Nothobranchius furzeri: one gene and its partners. The protein of the gene in region 1 purifies or fractionates together with the protein of each later gene. This does not show direct contact. Links are inferred from orthologs where the notes say so. Each region holds a gene or a part of one and is shown on either strand. Other genes may lie near its edges. The genes, in order: lrch3, sugt1 and dyrk1ab.

Evidence for each region.
Region 2: the proteins of lrch3 (region 1) and sugt1 purify together in Homo sapiens (co-immunoprecipitation; 3 studies listed by BioGRID and IntAct, counting the BioPlex papers as one, with this or other methods). This does not show direct contact. The link is inferred for Nothobranchius furzeri from reciprocal best matches to the Homo sapiens genes LRCH3 and SUGT1.
Region 3: the proteins of lrch3 (region 1) and dyrk1ab purify together in Homo sapiens (affinity purification with mass spectrometry; 3 studies listed by BioGRID and IntAct, counting the BioPlex papers as one, with this or other methods). This does not show direct contact. The link is inferred for Nothobranchius furzeri from reciprocal best matches to the Homo sapiens genes LRCH3 and DYRK1A.

The regions. Positions count from the first base shown.
Region 1 is NC_091753.1:55,769,417-55,773,091, reverse strand, and holds the end of lrch3 (DISP complex protein LRCH3), read right to left. Parts: intron 2,354-3,675; coding exon 2,156-2,353; 3' UTR 570-2,155; downstream 1-569. UniProt on the Homo sapiens protein: As part of the DISP complex, may regulate the association of septins with actin and thereby regulate the actin cytoskeleton.
Region 2 is NC_091751.1:64,340,189-64,343,847, forward strand, and holds part of sugt1 (protein SGT1 homolog), read right to left. Parts: intron 1,821-3,659; coding exon 1,767-1,820; intron 551-1,766; coding exon 522-550; intron 358-521; coding exon 335-357; intron 159-334; coding exon 62-158; intron 1-61. UniProt on the Homo sapiens protein: May play a role in ubiquitination and subsequent proteasomal degradation of target proteins.
Region 3 is NC_091753.1:50,171,207-50,173,755, forward strand, and holds part of dyrk1ab (dual-specificity tyrosine-(Y)-phosphorylation regulated kinase 1A, b), read left to right. Parts: intron 1-247; coding exon 248-444; intron 445-678; coding exon 679-771; intron 772-1,120; coding exon 1,121-1,309; intron 1,310-1,499; coding exon 1,500-1,647; intron 1,648-1,746; coding exon 1,747-2,033; intron 2,034-2,177; coding exon 2,178-2,324; intron 2,325-2,545; coding exon 2,546-2,549. UniProt on the Homo sapiens protein: Dual-specificity kinase which possesses both serine/threonine and tyrosine kinase activities. Exhibits a substrate preference for proline at position P+1 and arginine at position P-3.

The DNA of each region.
Region 1 (3,675 bases):
GTGTCTGGGCGGGGCCAGATCGAGCAGCGCGCTGACGGTTCCAGCCACCTGGGGGAGCCCTCGCTCTTCCAGGATGTGAAGAGGAAGACACAACTTACTCTGCATGAACAGACACCACAGAAGACACAGAGCGAGGGGGTGGGGGGGTGGACAACAGAAAGGTGGGTCAAAGGATGGCAACTTAAAGGAACAAAACACCACTGTAACCATGGCAACAGAAAGATAAACCAACCAAAGGAAGAAAGGAAAGAAAAAATGGAGAGATGAGTGGAGCTGCCAGAGGGGCTGATGGGAATTGAGGTCCAGTAAAACCAGCTGCTTCAGTAGGAAAAGGATGCTTTGAATGATACCAAAGGTCTGGTTCTGACCGGTTCTGGAGAACTGCGATTGTGATCAGACACCTAAACCATGTGGCTGAGCTGAAGTCCAGTCTCAGCCTCTGATGTCTGTGAACTCAGTGTGTTCTGGGTCTGCAGAGTCCAGAACCCACAGGAGGTTCTCTCTGGGCAGCAGAACACAACCTGCTCAGGTGAGTCCCAGATGCTGGAGAGAGACAAAGTGAGTCCAGGTGTTTTCACTGAGTTTATTCAAAGAGGAAAACGGTCCAGCAGAACCGAACCGACACAGAAAAATCATCAGAACTCAGTCCTCCCTCCTCCATTCTAGGGTTTCTAGTTCACAGCTGAAACCAGATCCTGTTCAGGCCCACCAGAACCTCAGATCCATCCATTTTCACCAAAGCAACTTGACTTGGTTAGGAACCAGAACTTTTAAAGGTTTCTCTTCAGTTTTTGGTTTGGAAAACATCCTGCATGTTTACAACAAGAAGAGCAGCAGAACATCGAGTCGGTACAAAATGGGTCACCCAGTCAGTCAGGTCCACATCTTGCCCGGGCCAGTGTCGGACCCAGTTAGGTAAAAATCAGCCAACAAATACGGGCCAGTACCAACGATACAAAGATCACAGTACTCTGATTACAATCCTTGGATCTATAGCTGGACCAGAACTTGAACAGAACCCTGATTACATTCAAGAACTCAATTTAAACAAGCAGAACCAGACTCTAGTTAATTGGCACAGATCAGAGTTCTGGTCCTGCTGGTACCAGCCAGGAAGACCACAAGCGAAAACAGGAAAAAGGTTGTGGAGGTTCTGGTTCTGGGCCCATATAACCAGTAAAAAACACATGACACATAAGGCACAAGTGGGCGGAGCCACAGCAGGCAGGTAACACTTTAGGTGACGGAGCCCAGAGATCACATACAGCACTTGAGCCAGGCCCAGAGGGAACCGGCCCGTTACATTCTGATCCAGAAGTGCGGTCCCAGCCCAGATCTACGTGAACAAACACCAATCCAGATTAACTCCTACCAGCATAACCCCTAGAACCGGTTCTGGTATGAAGCCACTCGTCTCCTCTGGTCATCCAGCCCGACTTGTTGGGTTTCGGTTCTTAAATCTACATTCTCACGTCACACTTTCAAAAAATCAAATCAAAATATTAAAAAAAAGTATTCAAAAGTTCAGCTGGAAAAAATAAGAAAATCAGCAGTTTGTGCTTCCAGAAACAAACATGGCCGACGTGCTGAGGCTATCCTAACGGACCTCTGGTTCTGTTTGTGTGCGCCGCTAAAGAGTCTCAGGATTCTGACAGATTCTCACTATTTTAGGAGCAGTAAAGGTTTAGATGGAATCCTCTAAAGTACCGGTCCGTTTGGGTCTGACCTGAGGTCAGTTCATCATCCTGGGCTAAAGAGAACTGTCAGACCCAACTCCACAGAGGTTCTGATCCCGGTACCCATAGAGTTCTTGTCAGCAGCGATATGTGGTTCTGTTTATGGCACCAGCTGCTGTAAGGAAACATCACGATCAAGTACAGCAGAACAAAACGACCCGGTTCTAGTCCAAAAGGGTGTGGTCAGCTTGGGTCTAACTGAGCAAAACTGCAGAACCCCAAAGAACCGGTCAAAAAACCCTCCACCCCATCTGGGTCAAGCGTGCCCCCCAATCCCAGGAGGACAAGGAACTTATGGCTGTTTAGGATCCAGTTTACTGAAGGACATCATCCGTCCATGTAGGCGGAGACTCGGTACCAGGGGAGTCTGAGTCAGGCCCGCTAACCTGAAGCATCCATTAGGAGGTTGGTGGGTCGTCTCAGACTTGTGGCGCCAGGTGGACATAGATGGCACACAGCGCAGACATGACAGACAGGTAAAAGAGGGCAAAACCAGCCAACTGGACCTGAAGAGAAGAGCTAAGAGGAGGCGGAGCCATGGACAGCAAAACCTCTACAGTCCCATAAAGCCCGCCTCCTTTCCCCCCCAATACATCTCCCACTGAGCAGAGACGGTCCTGAGGTCGGAGGGACATGGACACAATAAAGGATAAAACATGGACGGAGCAAAAAAAAAAAAAAAAAAAAGAAGAAAAAAAAATGAAATGATGAAAGAGAAGAAAAACAGGTTAGTTCAGTGGGAGGAGCTTCAGCAGGTCATCTCATCACTTTCCACCATCGGAGACTGAATCCAAACTTCAGAATAGGGCTGAACAGTTTTAGGAAAAGTTTCAAGTGAGATGTTTGTGGCAGAAATTGTGATTTCATTTCATTTCAATTCACTTAAATGAAAATAAAGGTTTACATTATTCACAATTTTCAAGTAAAACTGGAAGAATGAGAATCTGCTGAAAAATGTCATTCATGTCAGAAATCTGGCTCAGACTGAGAGACCATCTAAAGGCTCAAGAACCTTTACAGGCGTTTAGGATCCATTAGCTGATCAGAGTGTTACACTTTGAGTCTAGAATATTGAACATTTTCGTAATATTCTGATAATCTGAGATTTTTGAAAGCCGATTTACTCAAATAAATTAATTTAACAAACATGACAGGAAATTACATCCCATCAAAACAATTAAAGCCATTACTAATACAATGCAAGGAGGAAAACAGAAGGTAACAATTAGCGTTGGGTACTGAATTCAGTACTTTTTAAGGTATCGACCGAATTCCATAGTACCGACTGAGCACCGATTCACGTCATTTGAAACGGCGCCTCGTTTCGGTACCCGTCCTTCATAACGAGAACTTGCCTAGACAGCTGCGCATGCTCAAGAGCGTTATGTCGTCAGTCGCTGCGAGCGAGTTGTAAACAGAGCAGCATGGTAGAAAGAACGCACGCTAACGCTTGGGTCCACTTCACTAAATGTGACGGGTAATTGGGTGAAGATGAAACCAGTGACAACGATCTAAGTGTGAGGCATCATCGTTTTAATCTGCTCCAGCAGCTAAATAAACTGTTTAAGATAAAGTTAGCTTGATAAATTAGCTTCCATTGCCACCTTTGTTATCAGCTAATGGTGCGTTCGCTTTCTCCTCGGAAATTCTAACTTCCCAGTAGGAAAAATCAAATGAAAAAGGACGGCAAAAGGAATGAAGATACACAGTAAATTTAGTTCACAGTAAAGATGTTTGCTTCAGTTTAATTATCAGCTCATAAAACTACAAGGACGATGTTAAAATACAAACAGTTGTATGTTATTTATCGTGATATTTATCAAATATTGTTATATATTGAGAAAAATAAATATTTAATTATAAAAGAGAATTAAAATATTAAACACTCAAAGTATCTAAAATTGGTACCGTTAAGTACCGGTATCGATTCCTAGGTACC
Region 2 (3,659 bases), on another chromosome or scaffold:
GCACGCTGTGGTGAGACACAGGCTGTCTCCACCTCTGCTGCATTCCAGGGTGGCTTCATACCTCTTTTTCTGCAAAGTTGACACGCACTCCCTCCTTGGGAACGTTTTTTGCCATAACCGTGACGATGACTTGAGACTCTGTTTGATACCAGTCATGCCTGAAAGAAAGAGATTTAAAAGCCTCAATACCACATAAAACAGATCATTTTATTCAGATTTATCTGTAATATTAATCTGGTTTGCATCCGCGAAAATAAACATTTTCAAAACTGGATATTTACGATGCATCATCAACCTCTTTTAGAGGAGACCCGTTGGGTTTTTGTGGACTTACTTAACAGGTGGAGCGGCTGGCGTCTGCAGGGTCATTGAGCCACAGGGAGGGGATGACAGAGGCAAAATCATGTGAAACAAAACAAATGAAGGAACCATTAAAAAGCAGCTTGATAAGGCTTCGTGTGCAGATCTAATCTGATACTGAGAGCAACAATGCCCCCAAGTGGCCTCACAAAGAAACCCACCATGTCGGCGCTGCTGGTTTGTGTCTGCTCTGTGGGACAGAGAGAGGAACAGAGGAGAAAAATATCAGGTGCGGTAAAGTTAAATCCATTTAACCCGCCTGATAAAACTCAATCATCAGAATAGATTCACTGCAAAGAGCCAAGCCTTCGCCACCAGTTTGTTTACTGGTCCATCCACGCCCACTAAAAGCCCAGTGAGCCCAAGCAAGCCTGAGCGCCGTTTACCAGCGTGCTTTCATCCATTATTCACGGCCTTCATTTGATCGAGCGGGCTCAGAGAGAGATGAAGTGATAGGAGGCGTGTTAATGTTGTCTTAATGAGGTCGCGTTTGAAATGGGGGGCTGGGGGTACGAGGAGGAAGTTGTTGGTCTCCGTGTGAAGTCAGACGCATGAGCTGCCACGTGATGGAATAACCAGGTGGCATATGTGTTGCTTGGTGGTAAACACGCTGTCGCCTGAAGTAGACACTGCTCGTGGCATGTGCATGAGCAAGTAGGGGTGTGTGTGTGTGTGCGTGCGTGCGTGCGTGGGTGTGTGTGTGTGTGTGTGTGTGTGTGTGTGTGTGTGTGTGTGTGTGTGTGTGTGTGTGTGTGTGTGTGTGTGTGTGTGTGTGTGTGTGTGTGTGTGTGTGTGTGTGTGTGTGTGTGTGTGTGTGTGTGTGTGTGTGTGTGTGTGTGTAGTGAGAGAACAGGCTTTTAGGGGGGTTTGTCTCATTGGGGTTTTCAAACATCAGCAGCGTTAACGCTGATGAATCACACTGCTCTCGGGAGTGTGTGTGCACGCGGGTGCGAAGCGTGTTTGTCAAACCTCATGTTCCTGTTTACTCGCTGATAATCCAGAGGACCGAAGCAGCACCGGCAAACACAAACACATGCCACCAAGACATGGCATGCATCTTTTATTGGACTAAGCAGCTCTGAATATCCACGGATGTGTGTGTGCGTGCTCTTGGTTTTGATCAGACTGGCTGATCTGCTCCCTGACTGTGCCATTTAACTTCAACTTGAATAATTAAAGAAAACATACAACTAAGTTAGTGGAAGTAGTTCTCAACTTTGTTCGACCTAAAACTGCCAAACACATTCTTGTTTACGAACAACTGATGAATCAGAAAGTTTTCCATCTTGTTTTATTCACCCGAACACCAAAGATGTGTGTATCATCGGAGATAAAACCTAACAGATTCAAATCGCATGTGGGCCAACTCGAAGACTAATGCAGAAAGAAAGAAGTGAGCTACTTACTCCCCATCATCTCCTCACACCGCTTGATCCAGACTTCAAATGATTTGTCAGAAACTGCAAAAAGAATAAATATGCTGCTTAGGTGGCTTTCCTGTTTTAGTTAGGGAAGTTAAAATTTATCTACAACACACAACTGGATCAGTAATGTGTCGCTATCAGAGATGTTCCCTAGATTACAGTTATGGCTTTAAAGTCTGTAAGAGGTAATCCCCTCTGATCACCACCAGCAGGCAATGAGAGTGAAGTGTATTGCTCAAGGACACAAAAGCAGAATTCCCTGCAGAGAGCTGGGATTGATCCTGCAACCTTTCCATCACTGGACAATAGAGGTGCTGAAAAAAACCGATTCAAGTCCGAATCGGGATTCTTATTTATAAAGGTTCCGATTCGATTCCAAGAACTCAAATATTTGGCATGTTACAGGTCTGAGAAGCACTTTTTTGATGTTTGTTAGGAGAGTCAGTACTCCGTTTACGTTTGTGGTCCCATAAATTGAGATGATTTGTTTGAATCTGCTGATAAGAGGGCACTTGAATGTCATTTTTTCCATACTCAGAAATTTGAGATTTTCTCATATTTATTTTCTAAGTTGATAAATGAGTACTCAGGATTACTCATGTAACTTGTTTCTACACATACTTGAAAAGTATTTGACCGTATTACTTTCAAAGCTACTGTTAGGTAACTACAGATTTGTTATATTTTACAAGGGAAGCAAAAATAAATGTTGCCTTTTGGTCAAAAGATTGTTTCTGTTTACAGTTTTAGAATCACTTTAGTTTACATCGTAAATTTGCATTTTTGGAGCATGACCAGTTTAAAGTCAACTAAAAATGCCCCATAGCTTTAACTAACTTGTACAACAAAGTAGTTCATCCTGGAGCTGACACTCTTTGTTAATACTGATTGTGAATCGATTTAAATTGAGAATCGAGAATCGAATCGGCACCCCAAGAATCGGAATTGAATCAAACTGTGAGTTACTCCAAGATTCACATCCCTACTGGACAACCTCCTGAGCTTCTGCTGCTCTACATGTATTGGGTTTCTGGACTCGGGTCACAGTTTAGCCTCAGAACACATCCATGAATAAGAAATGGTACCTACGCACCATCCCTGAGGAACTCCTCCAACCATCCAACAACAGTTTGGTGATGAACAGTAACTTTTCCAACATAATGGAGTACCATGTCTAATGGTGGGAGTCAGAATTTGGTGGCTCAAGGTACAAAACCTGTACATTTTGTAAGATTGGTGCAAATTGTAATGAAACATGACAGTTCAGATTTTTTTAAATGTAACAAATTATAGGTACACATCATGTGCATTGTTGTTGACTGTTTGAGTTGTCCCTGTGGCACTAAAGCAAAAACATATTAAGAAATTGTTCAAACTGACAAAATTGTTAGTGTTCTTGTTTTTTGTGGCGATAAAAAAAAAAGAAAATAATTAAGTGAATTGGTTTTCTTGCATTTGTCAAAAAACTTCAACCAATAACACGGCTCAGTCTGAAAGCAACGATTGGATGATCCGGTTGTCTGTCTCACTGAACCATCGCACTTCCCTGGGTCCTCACACATTACACACTCACATATTTAGCAACAGAACACCGCTGGTGTGAGAGCTTCTCTGCTCATTAACATCAGAGAAGGAGAACCAGCCGGCTGCTACCACTTCTACTTTAGGACAAACTACCAGAGTCGCAAAAAGAAAAGCACCATTTGAAGTCACGGGCAACAAAAGATGTTTGGACTTAGAAAATGGAGACTGGTGTTTAGCGCTATCTTGTTTCCTCTGGCGATTTGGGTTTCCATATCAGGGGGGCAAGGCCTAGGGATGATAGCCAATGGGAGGGGTGGGAGTGCTGTGACCGTGTTTGTGTTTATAGCACGA
Region 3 (2,549 bases), about 5.6 Mb from region 1:
GCATTTTTGTAAAGGTGTAAAGGGTTTTTGTTGCTTTTTTGAAATAGTAAAAATGAGAAGTTTATATTAAATCTGTACAGTCTGAATGACACTTATTTTAACTGTAATGCAAAAAATGTTTAGCATGAAAATGAGAATATAACATACCATTTTTTTATAAACTTTTTCTTTCTTAATGTTATTTGTCAGTTTATATATTGGGGATTGAAGTGAAAGTACATTCCCTAACATTGTTCTTTTCTCTTAGGAGGAGAGACTTCAGCATGCAAACCTTCGTCCGTCCGGCTTGCGCCCTCTTTTTCTTTACACACTGCTGGTCTTCAGATGGCTGCTCCAATGCCCCATACGCACCAGCAGTACAGTGACCGCCACCAGCCAAGCACTGACCAATCTGTTACAGTCTTACCGTACAGCGACCAGACACCACAGCTCACTGCCAATCAGGTATACGAACCCCACCACATAGCTCCTCAAGGTTTTACAGTTTTGGGTCCAATATCAAAGCCTACTTCCCTTTTTCTACTGTCACTAGGCAGAGCAGCTACATGTCAAATGTCACTTTCAGTTTAATCACGTCTTGTTAACCATCATTACTTGCAATGATTCAAGAGGATGCTGTTTCTTATGAAATTGCCGTGTGTTTTTTTGTTCATGAATACTTTACCTGTGACACTCCAGAGGCACATGCCCCAGTGCTTTCGTGACCCAACTTCAGCTCCCCTGAGGAAGCTCTCCATCGACCTTATCAAAACATACAAACACATCAATGAGGTTTGTTTTTTTAGTTTGTTTTGATGCATTTAAATCTAAACTAATTATTTACTTTAGCAGCTGAAAGAGTTAACCAGCTATACTTTTAATCATATTGGATATGCTTACAATTAAAGTTACTGCAGCTTTTTTTTTAAATGTCTTTTAGATTTTTACTTTTGCTGAGACGAAACAAAATGCAACATGTTTTAATTTACTGCATTTTTATTGAATAAAACAAAGTCATGTTGGTGAGATCATGATAAAATAATCCATTAGAAGATTCAACTTAACAAAGATCATTGTGTGTTTCATTAGCTCGTCAAAGACTTGTGTGTGTGGTTATGGGATGTAATGTGTTAACTTACAGGTGTATTATGCAAAAAAGAAGCGACGGCACCAACAGGGTCAGGGTGAAGACTCCAGTCATAAAAAGGAGAGGAAAGTGTTCAATGATGGCTATGACGATGATAACTATGACTACATCGTCAAGAATGGGGAGAAATGGATGGACCGCTATGAAATTGATTCCTTGATAGGAAAAGGATCGTTTGGACAGGTGCTTCACTATCAGTTCCACTCAAACGTTTATTTGATTCATAAGAATACAATGTTCTTTCTAAAAGTATTAACCAGCATTTCTGTACATTTTCTTTTGTGATTATTGACCCTAAACGTTAATATCAAAACTAATCCGTAAAAACTTCATGCTGAGCAAACTGTAAACTGTTTGTCGTTGGCGTGTTTAGGTTGTGAAAGCGTATGACCGAGTCGAGCAGGAATGGGTTGCCATTAAGATCATCAAGAACAAGAAAGCTTTCCTCAATCAAGCCCAGATAGAAGTGCGCCTCTTGGAGTTGATGAACAAACATGATACCGAGATGAAATACTACATTGGTAATCCACTCTTGAAATTAGCATCTAATCTGATCAGAAAAATAAAAGGCCAGGGGGTTTGTTACTGACTAACATGGACATAATTTGCTTTTTCTGCAGTTCATTTAAAGCGACACTTCATGTTTCGGAACCACCTCTGCCTCGTGTTCGAGATGCTGTCGTATAACTTATACGACCTGCTCCGAAATACCAACTTCCGCGGAGTCTCGCTCAATCTCACCCGGAAGTTTGCCCAGCAGCTATGCACGGCGCTACTCTTCCTGGCCACGCCTGAGCTCAGCATCATCCACTGTGACCTGAAGCCCGAGAACATCCTCCTCTGTAACCCAAAGAGGAGTGCCATCAAAATAGTGGACTTTGGCAGTTCATGCCAACTGGGACAAAGGGTAATTAGCAGCAGTATTTCTCATCAGCTATGAGTCAGTTGGGTGCAATAAAGTCAATAAGTAACTGTTTGTGGGTTATTTATTTATTTTTTTTACGTTTTTTTATTTTTTTTAATTTGTCCCTTATGTGTGTTTTGTGTATAGATATACCAGTATATCCAGAGTCGCTTCTACCGTTCCCCAGAAGTGCTGCTGGGAATGCCCTATGACCTGGCCATCGATATGTGGTCCTTGGGTTGCATCTTGGTGGAGATGCACACTGGAGAGCCTCTCTTTAGTGGAGCCAATGAGGTATAACAATCTGAAACATTAGCTAGGTGGTCATATTTCAGTGAAGGATGACAAATGCTTTCATCTTGTGTCTGCATTTTAAATCTGATTGTGTAACCATTGGAGATAGAAAAGAAGACTTCATAACCTTAAAACATTCTGAACCATTTGGTTTTTTAGATGATGTATTTTACAGCATTTATTGTGTATAAAGAAGTAACACGATTTGCTCACCTCCTCAGGTGG